3 linked regions of the Kluyveromyces lactis genome follow. The protein of the gene in region 1 interacts with the protein of each later gene in a pairwise test. Links are inferred from orthologs where the notes say so. Each region holds a gene or a part of one and is shown on either strand. Other genes may lie near its edges.

Region 1 (2,531 bases):
TCAAGACTCCGTTATATATTCCGAAAAAAAATCTTGAGGGAAACCTCGTGGAAGCAAAGCAAATAACTAACCTAACAGCTGGCGTTCCTGGTGATGTTGCTGTTTCGGTTATCGACGGTAATAATTTCACACACTGGCAGCCCGCATATAAAAACTTGCCAGCAAGGCTATTAATCGATATGGGGAATAATTTCACGCAAGAGATCAAGTCAGGCAAGATTATATGGGGTTCGAGGCCTGCAAAGACCTTTTCGTTGTCGATATTGCCACAAACAGAAGAGGTATTCAAAAATTTGACGCATATATTATCAAACGTCAATCAATATTGCAATAAGACTGGTGATGAATGTGTACGCGATTTGGAACGGACAGAAAAAGGTTTTGATGCAGCGATTGAAGATGTTTTTGACTGGTACGGTATTGATCCAGATAGTATAATCAGTACTCATCCTGAACTTAAAGATATGAAAACTAAATTTGTAAAGATTTTGGATCACTATAAGGTAACACCATCAGAACCATACCCATGGCGAGTATATAATGAGTCCCAAATTGTATTATTGCCTGGAAATGAGACCGATTTCGATATTGATTATTCAAAAGTGGCTGAAATGAATCCCGAAAATGTTGATATTGATTTTCGTGGCAATCAAACTGATTGGAGAAAGGGAAGATTCATAGTTCTAACTGTTCATGACACTTATGATGATGACGATGATGAAAAGGGAGCGACAATTAAAGAATTTGCATTATTCCCATAAGACATGCACATAAGTCTCATATACGGGACATTTTTAGTTTGATAGTTATTTGATTAGTCGGTCAGCTAATTCAAATGCTGTCCCTAAAAGTTTTTATTCATAATGAAATGTTTTCATTTTTTTTTTGGCATTCCTTAGTGTATTCCTTCATATACTCAATCTGACACTTTTAAATAGTATTAGCTTCCAATATGAACGTTCGAAACTTCAGCGGCGAAAAAAAAACCAAAAAAAAAGAAGGCGTACGGGATTAGAAAAAATATGCTGCTTCTGTGGATCGAACACAGGACCTTATGAACTTCAGTCATACGCTCTCCCAACTGAGCTAAAGCAGCGACTTGTTGAAACCGGTGGTGATTTGCTCATATTGGTTCCACTTGCTAAAGTTAGTGTTCCTCTTTTTTTTTTTCGTTTTCTGTGGCTCGGATAGAACATTCCATTAGGTCTGGCTGTTTCTTAAAACGCAACGAATTCTGAAAAGTGAAAAAAAAATATAAACTAAAGAATGAAATTTAAAGGGATACATCTAACTTGCCAGTGAGCGATAATTCCTCCTCCTTCAAATTTTTTTGATTTACCTTAAGTCTGCACTCTATCAATCCAACAAATCTACAATCAAACAACAATGGCAGACTATCTGAAATTATTTCAAGATTCCTTGAAGGGTTTGGACACTGTATGTTTACTAGGATTTTTATTATCTTTCGGATGCTTCTCGTAACTAACAGAGAAAATAATACTACTTTAAAACTTAATATACTAACCAATTCTAACTTAGAAATTCGCTGGTAATCAAATTTTGTCTCGTATTGAAGCTCAAACAAAATTGCCAAGATCATATGTTATCGTTGGTCTTGTTGCTGTTTACTTTCTCTTAATTTTTATCAATGTTGGTGGAATTGGTGAGATTTTATCCAACTTTGTTGGATTCTGTATTCCAACATACTATTCTTTGAAAGCATTGAAGACTGCCACATCAACGGATGACACACAATTGTTAACTTATTGGATTGTTTTTTCGTTTTTGTCTGTGATCGAGTTCTGGTCCAAGGCTATTTTGTACTGGGTTCCATTCTACTGGTTCTTTAAGACTGTTTTCTTACTGTACATTGCCATTCCATCATTCGGCGGTGCCCAACTTGTTTACACGAGGTTGATTTCACCATTCTCTGACAAATACCTACCTATCGTGGAAGGGAAATCGGGAGAACTGGCCCAGAAAGTCGAAGCTGCTGCCAACAACGCTAAGGCTTCTGGATACTCCCGTTAAATTCTTCTTAGTTGAAAAATCACCCTCTGGTCCAATTTTCTTTTGAGTTCGCTTATTTGATTGCGGAAATGTGAACTCGTACCGGTGTTTATCGACATAGATCCCTTATCTACATGATGTGATTGTTATATCGTTTTATAGTTTACACAATATTACTTTAAGGCATCTTTAACGCTCGTTAATGGGGGATGTTTTCAAATTTATAATCGAATTGATCCTCGGTGGAGTTGATATTCAATTTGACCCTTAGCTTGATTTTCCCAGATCCTAGAATTTTAAGACCCTGCTTAGCTACTTCACCTGTAGCTACCTTGTGGCTTGACAGAGATCCGAATTCTGCCTTCTGTGATTTAGGAACAGCGATTAGGATCTGTAAGGTATTAATATTCGTTTTAGCTTTCAAGAATAGGTCTATTTCAGTACAACCGGGGATTGACGATTCTACTTTACCATAAACTTCAACAATATCAGATGAGTGGATATTGATAGAGTTTGGTGGT
Region 2 (4,227 bases), on another chromosome or scaffold:
GCCAAAGAAAACTTGACCCGTGCCAAGAGGCCAGAGCTCATTGAGGCTCTGAATAGAAGTAGCATCAAGAAAAGTTAGCATTATATATAACATAGAGTATGTTTATACCGAAGACTATTATTATTTACCTCCAAAGAAACCAGACATCATATCTTGCAAGAAGTTGATTGGTTTCTCGACCTTGATACCGAAGTATTCTTGGCCCAAGAATTGTAGCTCAGAGTTGTATTTGTTGGCAAGAGTTGAGTATTGTGATTTTAGATTCTGGAAAAGAATAGTTTCTTGAGTTTGACATGCGATTATTAACAACTGTAAAAAGTTCAACGATTCCCACGATGAGAAATAATCAATCTTATATGGGCCTTTCTCTGTTAACTCAAATTTTACATCTGTCTTGTGATTGGTAAACCGTTTTAAAAGTTCTTTAGATCCCTCCAATGCATATTCGATATTGAAGATGAACAAATAGTTGAATATCATTCTTGATATGAAATCGGGGAAACTGGAGTCCTCACCGGATTGCTGATACCAGTCCCAAAGTAGATCCACATACCGCTTCATCGAGTCATGAGTACCTAGCACTAGATATCTTTCCGCTTCGTATGTATATCCACCTTCAAGTAATTTTGTAGCGATCGCTGAATGTAAGTATGGGTCACCAAACTTATATTCACTATGTTTCACAGACCAATTGTTCATCCCTGTCACTACATCCTTTAAATTTGGTTCCTGGCCGTCAACGAGGACGAGTAATTGAATGAGTCTAGAGACCGAAGAGTCATTGCATGGAACCGATGCCAAATCGTAAACTTCAAGTAGATAGAAGATCAAATCTGAACCAGAACCACCTTGCTTGGACCTCAAAAACGCACCGGCTGCATGAGAAATCAAATCAATCGATTCATCATACTTTTTGGCCCGCACATATCTATTAGCAATGGTTCTTAACGTCTGATGGGCTTCATAATAATCACCAGCTTCAATTCTCGCATTGAATCTCTGTAAGGTCTTCGTTAATTTATCACTCATCTCTAAGTGTCTCGATCAAAAAACAATTAAGGTATGTAAAAACTCGCCTAACGGATTCAAAAGGCCTCTTGATAAGTACAAAATAACTTGATTCTGAGAAACACGAAAGCTGTGGTTCACTCGTTGGACCTTTACAATATGATCATGTTCTTTCTTTCTCTTCCTGGCGAAATTTCGGACCGTTAAAATATTGAAACTCAACAAAACCAATATTGAAATTGACTCGTTCATTAACTATTCTGATGAAAGATAGGGTAAAGGACAATAACAGCTGGAGCAGCAGCTGAGCTATATTGCCAAGGGATTTAATTACAATTTAGAACCGAGTAATATCTGCTTAGTGAGGTGATACATTTCGTTTTTGTTACATTATTAAGGGAACGCTGTCAAACAGTAGCATGAGTGATCTCAAAGAAGCTATTCAGCTCATCGATGAGAACAAACAATTCAATCCCTCGACATTGAACTATTTCACGAAGTGCCTTGGGGATAAAAATGTTGGAGTAAAGTATCATGTCATATCTGTTTTTGGATCGCAATCAAGTGGTAAATCGACGTTATTGAATAAATTGTTCGATACAAAATTCGATACCATGGATGCACAGGTTAAACGACAACAGACTACTAGAGGTATTTGGTTATCCCATTCTGCCAATATATACAGCTCTGGAGCTGCCAACCAATCCATTCCTGATTTCTTTGTTTTGGATGTCGAAGGTTCGGATGGTGCGGAGAGAGGTGAGGATCAAGACTTTGAAAGGAAAGCTGCTCTATTTGCATTATCAGTGTCCGAGGTTCTAATCGTGAATATGTGGGAAAACCAGGTCGGGCTATACCAGGGGAATAACATGGGGTTGTTGAAAACGGTTTTCGAGGTGAATCTTTCGTTATTTGGCAAGAATGAAAATCGTCACAAGGTAGCATTGCTGTTTGTCATTAGAGATTTTACCGGCCAAACACCATTGGAAAGTTTAGAAGCCAGTCTTGTCCTGGAATTAGAAAAAATGTGGTCACAGCTAAGTAAGCCTGAAGGTTGTGAAGATACATCTTTCCATGATTTTTTCGTTCCAAATTTCTTCGGTTTGGGCCACAAGGTCTTCCAACCTGAACAGTTTGATAATGATGTGAAGAGTTTGGGTGACTTGTTCGTTGACCAAGATGCCTCTTTCTTCAAAGATGAATACCATACTCACTTGCCATTGGATGGATGGTCTCTTTATGCAGAAAACTGCTGGGAACAAATTGAGAATAACAAAGATCTTGATTTGCCGACCCAGCAGATTCTCGTAGCTAGATTCAAAACCGACGAGATTGCAGCAGCAGCATACAACAAATTTTTGAATGACTATCAATCACAGGTCACTGACTCCTTGGATGGGAAAGAACTTGCAACAGTACTAAAAACATTACAATCAACCTGTATTGATGTCGACTATGACCCTTTCGCCTCACGTTACGCGAAGAAAGTGTATGAAGAACGTAGAGATGATTTGATCAAACAATTAAATACGATAATCGACGAAACGATAACGAATTTCGTTACAAGAACTACTTCATCCCTCATTGAAACTTTCCACAAGAATGCAAGAGATAGAAGTTTGAAGGGGCCATTCAAGCTGAAAATACAATCAGCTCTCGAGAAAGCATCAAGGACGTTCAAAACAAACCTTGCTCCATTTTCAGAACTTGAATTATTATCTTCCATGGATGCATATATCTCTAAATTCGAAGCTCGCGTCAATACCGAGGTTGCTGATCTTCAGGAGCGTGAACTTAATGCGATAGTAGCGAGGTTCAATAAGGGTCTAACTATCAAACTCAAGGATACCATACTTCATCTACTTGCTAAACCTACTATCAATGTATGGGATGACGTTATGAAAGAATTCACTAGTTTCTTAGATGGTAGTTTGAAGAAGTACACTAATGAAGACGGTAAAATAGATTTCCAAACTGGAGCCACTACTGATGCGAATGACAAAACAGAGCACACATTAAAAAGAAATGCTTGGTCATTTTTAGATCATACGGTTCATGGGTATTTGACTGAAGATAATGTTGTTGATATCATGAGAAACGTTTTTAACGACAAATTCAGATACGATGATGACGGTATGCCGAAATTCTGGAAAAATGAAGCAGAAGTAGATGCTTCATATCGTTTGGCAAAAAGTCAGGCATTGAGTGTATTGGATGCCCTTGCAATTGTAAAGAACAAAGATAATGTGGAGATACTCATCCCTGAAGCTCTACTGGAATCAGATGGAGATGGATCCGATTACGAGGAGAACGGCGGCCAAGAAGAAGAAGAAGCAGGGCTATATCATCAACAAAGGTTTTCCCATGTCCTTTCTGCATTGCAAAAAGATAAAATTATTACAAAATTCAAGCAGTTCACAGATTTGGTAATAATTGAAGCTAAAAGGTCTATCGTAAACACAACCGAACGTATCCCCTTGTATATGTATGCACTAGTGGTTGCATTGGGATGGGGTAGAATCATTACTATTCTCAGGAATCCCGCTACGATCATCTTATCGATCATTGTTCTTGCCGGAGCATATTTTGTTCACAAACTAAACTTATGGGGTCCATTACTACAATTTGCCAACCAAGCCACAGGACAAGCAACTGCGGTATTGAAACAAACTGTTCGAAGCTTGGTAGTGGATGAGGAACCAAAGAGAAAGATACTCGTCGAACCACATGAGTCAGAAGGAGTAGACAAGGAACCTTCGAAAAATGACCAGCATTTATAATTACAATATTATGTAGTAACACTTGCTGTATATAAATATTTTAATAGGATTCCGAGATAATATCATCGATATCCAAATAATGTTTTAGCTTCCATGGTTAACTTCCCTGTTGAACGGTGGTGAATAGAACCTTAAAATACTATGAAAAAAACAGTCAAATGGCTTTAGCATTCTATTGAAGGGTTTAATGAACTTTTGAAAGTGCAGCCTCTAAAAGATAAAAGAATTGCACCGCAAGGTCCTTTACGGAGCTGTGTGGTCATCCATTATTATGTCAAACCAAGAAGCCACCGGAAGTTGGCAGTTTTTACACATAAATAATGATATTTCGTTGGCTAAAATTACGAAAGAGTCATCGTCATCCATCATCGGTGTACTGAAGCTCTGCGAGGATGAGAAGTTCTTACGGTTTCGTGTAAGCTCAGAGCAGATTCCAAAG
Region 3 (3,071 bases), on another chromosome or scaffold:
ATCTTCGGGCTCCCCATTTGTCATTTCTACATCGCTAACGCCTTGACTATGAATGCCCTCGGAGTCATCCGCACTACTGGTATGTTCAGTCTCGTGAATCGTGGTCGTGACCTCTGCAGTTGGCTGAGTTGCAGACACTGCGGTGTCTGCAGTTGTGCCAGTACTTGTATCAGATTCAGCGTTATATACCAACAGTGTTTGCTTTTCATCCCCTTTTACATCCACATCGTCATCTTCCTCTCCAACCATGTCAACGTCAACGACATCACTATCAGTATCGTTATTACTAACAGCAGCCGTATTCTTCGACAGCGGACTCTTCTCAACAGGCGCACTTGCAACAGCCGCTACAGTTGAGCTATGCTTGTTCGCCGCATTTTTCTTTTTCAGATGCATCTTGGCTGTAGAATTGGATAACGTAGTATGAATTTCTGATTGTCTTGAATGAGTCGCAGCAACCCCTGGACGTCCACTCTTCTTTGCACTTAGCGTATTCTTGCTCTTACTTTTCTCCGAGCTTGACCCACTAGAACCTTTATTACTATTGTTACTTGACGATGAATTCCTACCCTTCTGTTTCCTAGAGCTATCCGAATCGCTTGAACCACACAATAAAGATGCAATGAATCCCATCACTTTTATTCCTAACAAAATCAACAGCGACCTATAAATAAATCGAGACACTGAGCGAGTGAGAGAAACCAAAAATCACACACTGAGCCCAAAAAAAATGGATAACCGATATTAATCAGATTGGTTTTTCAAACGGATTGATACTGTTATTAATATATGTTCTTTCTTTCTATCTAAGCAAAGAAAGATAGCAAACAAAAAAAACCTAAATACACAAACCAATCAGGCTCCCTGAAACCACTGGCCCCTTGATATAGTACCCGTACACTGACAAATCCCGGTACTTTTCAAGACTTTACTGCCCTTCTGTAAATGGCCTCCAAAAAAAATTAAGTTGCAGTTAAAATAAGAGAGTTAGTCAATGACCAATGTTCTATTCTCAAAATTGTTTAATCTGCAAAAGTTGACTGTTTCTGGTTTTTCCATGCTGAACAGAACATCAAAACTTAAAGAACGAACCAAACGAAGCAAAAAGAATTTTTTCTTTTCCCTGGCACAAGATGGTGCGGGTAACGAGATGTTTTTCACTTGAAAGAGATAGAGGCCGGCTTGAAGATTCACTTCTTAGTTTAACTACTAAAAACACAGCTAGTTCTTCAATGTTAATAAATAAGAATCGTTCAGTTTTTACCTGGATACGGTAAGTTTCATATCCTGATATTAGTGGTGTTTTTACTGTGGTAATTGATCGAGAGTTTACCCCGTAAATACAGGGATCAAGATATATAAAGGAAAAAGGTGAGAGTAGCAATGGATAATGGAATTTCTGCGCCTGGCACACCGGCCAAGACTTTTCAGACTCCCAATAGGCCTTTGAGCCAGCAGCAATTTCAATCCTTAAGGGAAAAAGCTATCAAACAGTCGCCTGCATTGTATAAACACAAGGTATTGAGTGATCCTACCAGCAAGACTGATGTTTCCAAGTCAGATTCTTCCTCTGTGTTTGCTGCATCTGCGTTCTCTGGCAGATTTGACGCGAAACCTTCAGCATCAACTAATACACATACCGCATCCCCTGTTTTTCGAGGAAAAAGTAACCAGGCATATTCTACACAGCAAGATACCGCACCAGTGACAAATTCTGATCTGCTACCGGACGAACCGGTGGGACAGAAACAACAAACGGATTTGAACTTTTCCGAAGATTCCGCATATGATAAATTGACTGATTTCGAAAACCCGGCGTTGGCTGCTTTCACATCTCGTATGGTTAATAAAGAGTTGGAGATGAGAAGGTTGTTGACTAATGTAGTGTTGGCAATGATTTGGAATCTCATATACAAATTCGTGTCATTATTCTTCCAATTCACTAAAAGGGGATCCCAACTTCGAGACGAACTGTATCTTTTCGTATTGAAAAACGTTGTTTATAAGATTAACCCACATGCCAACATCAATTCATTTTGGTTCCAAATGCTTTCTTGGCAATTTGCAACCAGTATATTCCATACTATTGTCATTTTTAACATTGCATCGTGTCTTTGGAACTTGCTGATAAAAGCACAAAATACGGACATATCAGATTTGCATCTAACCGAGAATCAAAAACGCTTGTTAGGGGTTGTGGAAAGCACCCCCGACTATGGTAGATCCTTTGATCCTTCAATTAATATAGGTAACTCTAAAGTGAAATCCTTAAATGAAGCAGAATCAAAATCCAGCCACAAGCCTTTCATATTCAAATCTTTACAGACTCCAATGAAAATGCGTGAGTTGAATACCCTTCAGCAAGCAGAAGTGAAAAAAAATCATGTATCTTTCTCTTTACAACCGAAGAAAGTAAACGCCTTTGGTGTCGATCACATAACAAATGTCTCCAATACTCCTACAACTTTATTCACATCGACACGCTCACAGCCAGACACTCGTCCCGGATATATTCCAAGCAACCGGTATACTTATATGATGGACTCACCAAGTGCGATGAAGAAGCGCTGAAAAGCATGCGTACTTCGGAGAACGATTCTTTTTCTTCTTCTTTTGGTTTCGAACCTCTGATAGCAGTTATGATAAGAATGTTATTACTTACATGGCTACCTACCGCGTATAGTTTATAAAGTTTATAGAAGAGAAATTTACAGCGTTACCAATGGTTTGGGAATAGAAACTTTAGCTTGGCCAAGGCATCTTGAGACATGGCTTCAGGTTTTGTTGAAATGGAGTACTTCATGGCATCCTTTAGACCATCACCGTTGTTCATAAATTCAGGAAGTTGCTTTGCCATTTCTAAAATGACCCGGGATGCCAAATGGTTAGCATTTTTGGCATTGTTCTGTAAATTACGGATAACAGTTTGTACAGACACTGGTTCTTCTTCGTCTCTCCATGCATCATAATCGGTAGACATACAAACCATCTGGTATAGAATTTCACATTCACGAGCCAATTTCGCTTCAGGGATCACACTCATGTTGATGACATCTCCACCCATCAGACGG

What was found. The genes of interacting proteins can lie anywhere in the genome.
Region 2: the proteins of YOP1 (region 1) and SEY1 interact in binary tests that used the Saccharomyces cerevisiae proteins (3 or more experiments, as listed by UniProt). The link is inferred for Kluyveromyces lactis from reciprocal best matches to the Saccharomyces cerevisiae genes YOP1 and SEY1.
Region 3: the proteins of YOP1 (region 1) and POM34 interact in a protein complementation assay, tested with the Saccharomyces cerevisiae proteins (2 studies listed by BioGRID). The link is inferred for Kluyveromyces lactis from reciprocal best matches to the Saccharomyces cerevisiae genes YOP1 and POM34.

The regions. Positions count from the first base shown.
Region 1 is NC_006041.1:596,442-598,972, reverse strand, and holds YOP1 (Yop1p), read left to right. Parts: upstream 1-1,386; coding exon 1,387-1,437; intron 1,438-1,539; coding exon 1,540-2,031; downstream 2,032-2,531. Other genes in the region: alpha,alpha-trehalase ATH1, read left to right, coding at 1-761; APL4 (AP-1 complex subunit gamma), read right to left, coding at 2,210-2,531. UniProt on the Saccharomyces cerevisiae protein: Required to generate and maintain the structure of the tubular endoplasmic reticulum network and the vacuole. Induces high curvature in membranes and causes membrane tubule formation. Involved in membrane/vesicle trafficking.
Region 2 is NC_006042.1:1,887,376-1,891,602, forward strand, and holds SEY1 (dynamin-like GTPase SEY1), read left to right. Parts: upstream 1-1,427; coding exon 1,428-3,788; downstream 3,789-4,227. Other genes in the region: polyphosphatase DDP1, read left to right, coding at 1-78; protein GET4, read right to left, coding at 121-1,029; NEJ1 (Nej1p), read left to right, coding at 4,060-4,227. UniProt on the Saccharomyces cerevisiae protein: Cooperates with the reticulon proteins RTN1 and RTN2 and the tubule-shaping DP1 family protein YOP1 to generate and maintain the structure of the tubular endoplasmic reticulum network. Has GTPase activity, which is required for its function in ER organization.
Region 3 is NC_006042.1:1,442,172-1,445,242, forward strand, and holds POM34 (Pom34p), read left to right. Parts: upstream 1-1,383; coding exon 1,384-2,571; downstream 2,572-3,071. Other genes in the region: PSR1 (phosphatase), read right to left, coding at 1-633; MEU1 (S-methyl-5-thioadenosine phosphorylase), read right to left, coding at 2,717-3,071. UniProt on the Saccharomyces cerevisiae protein: Functions as a component of the nuclear pore complex (NPC).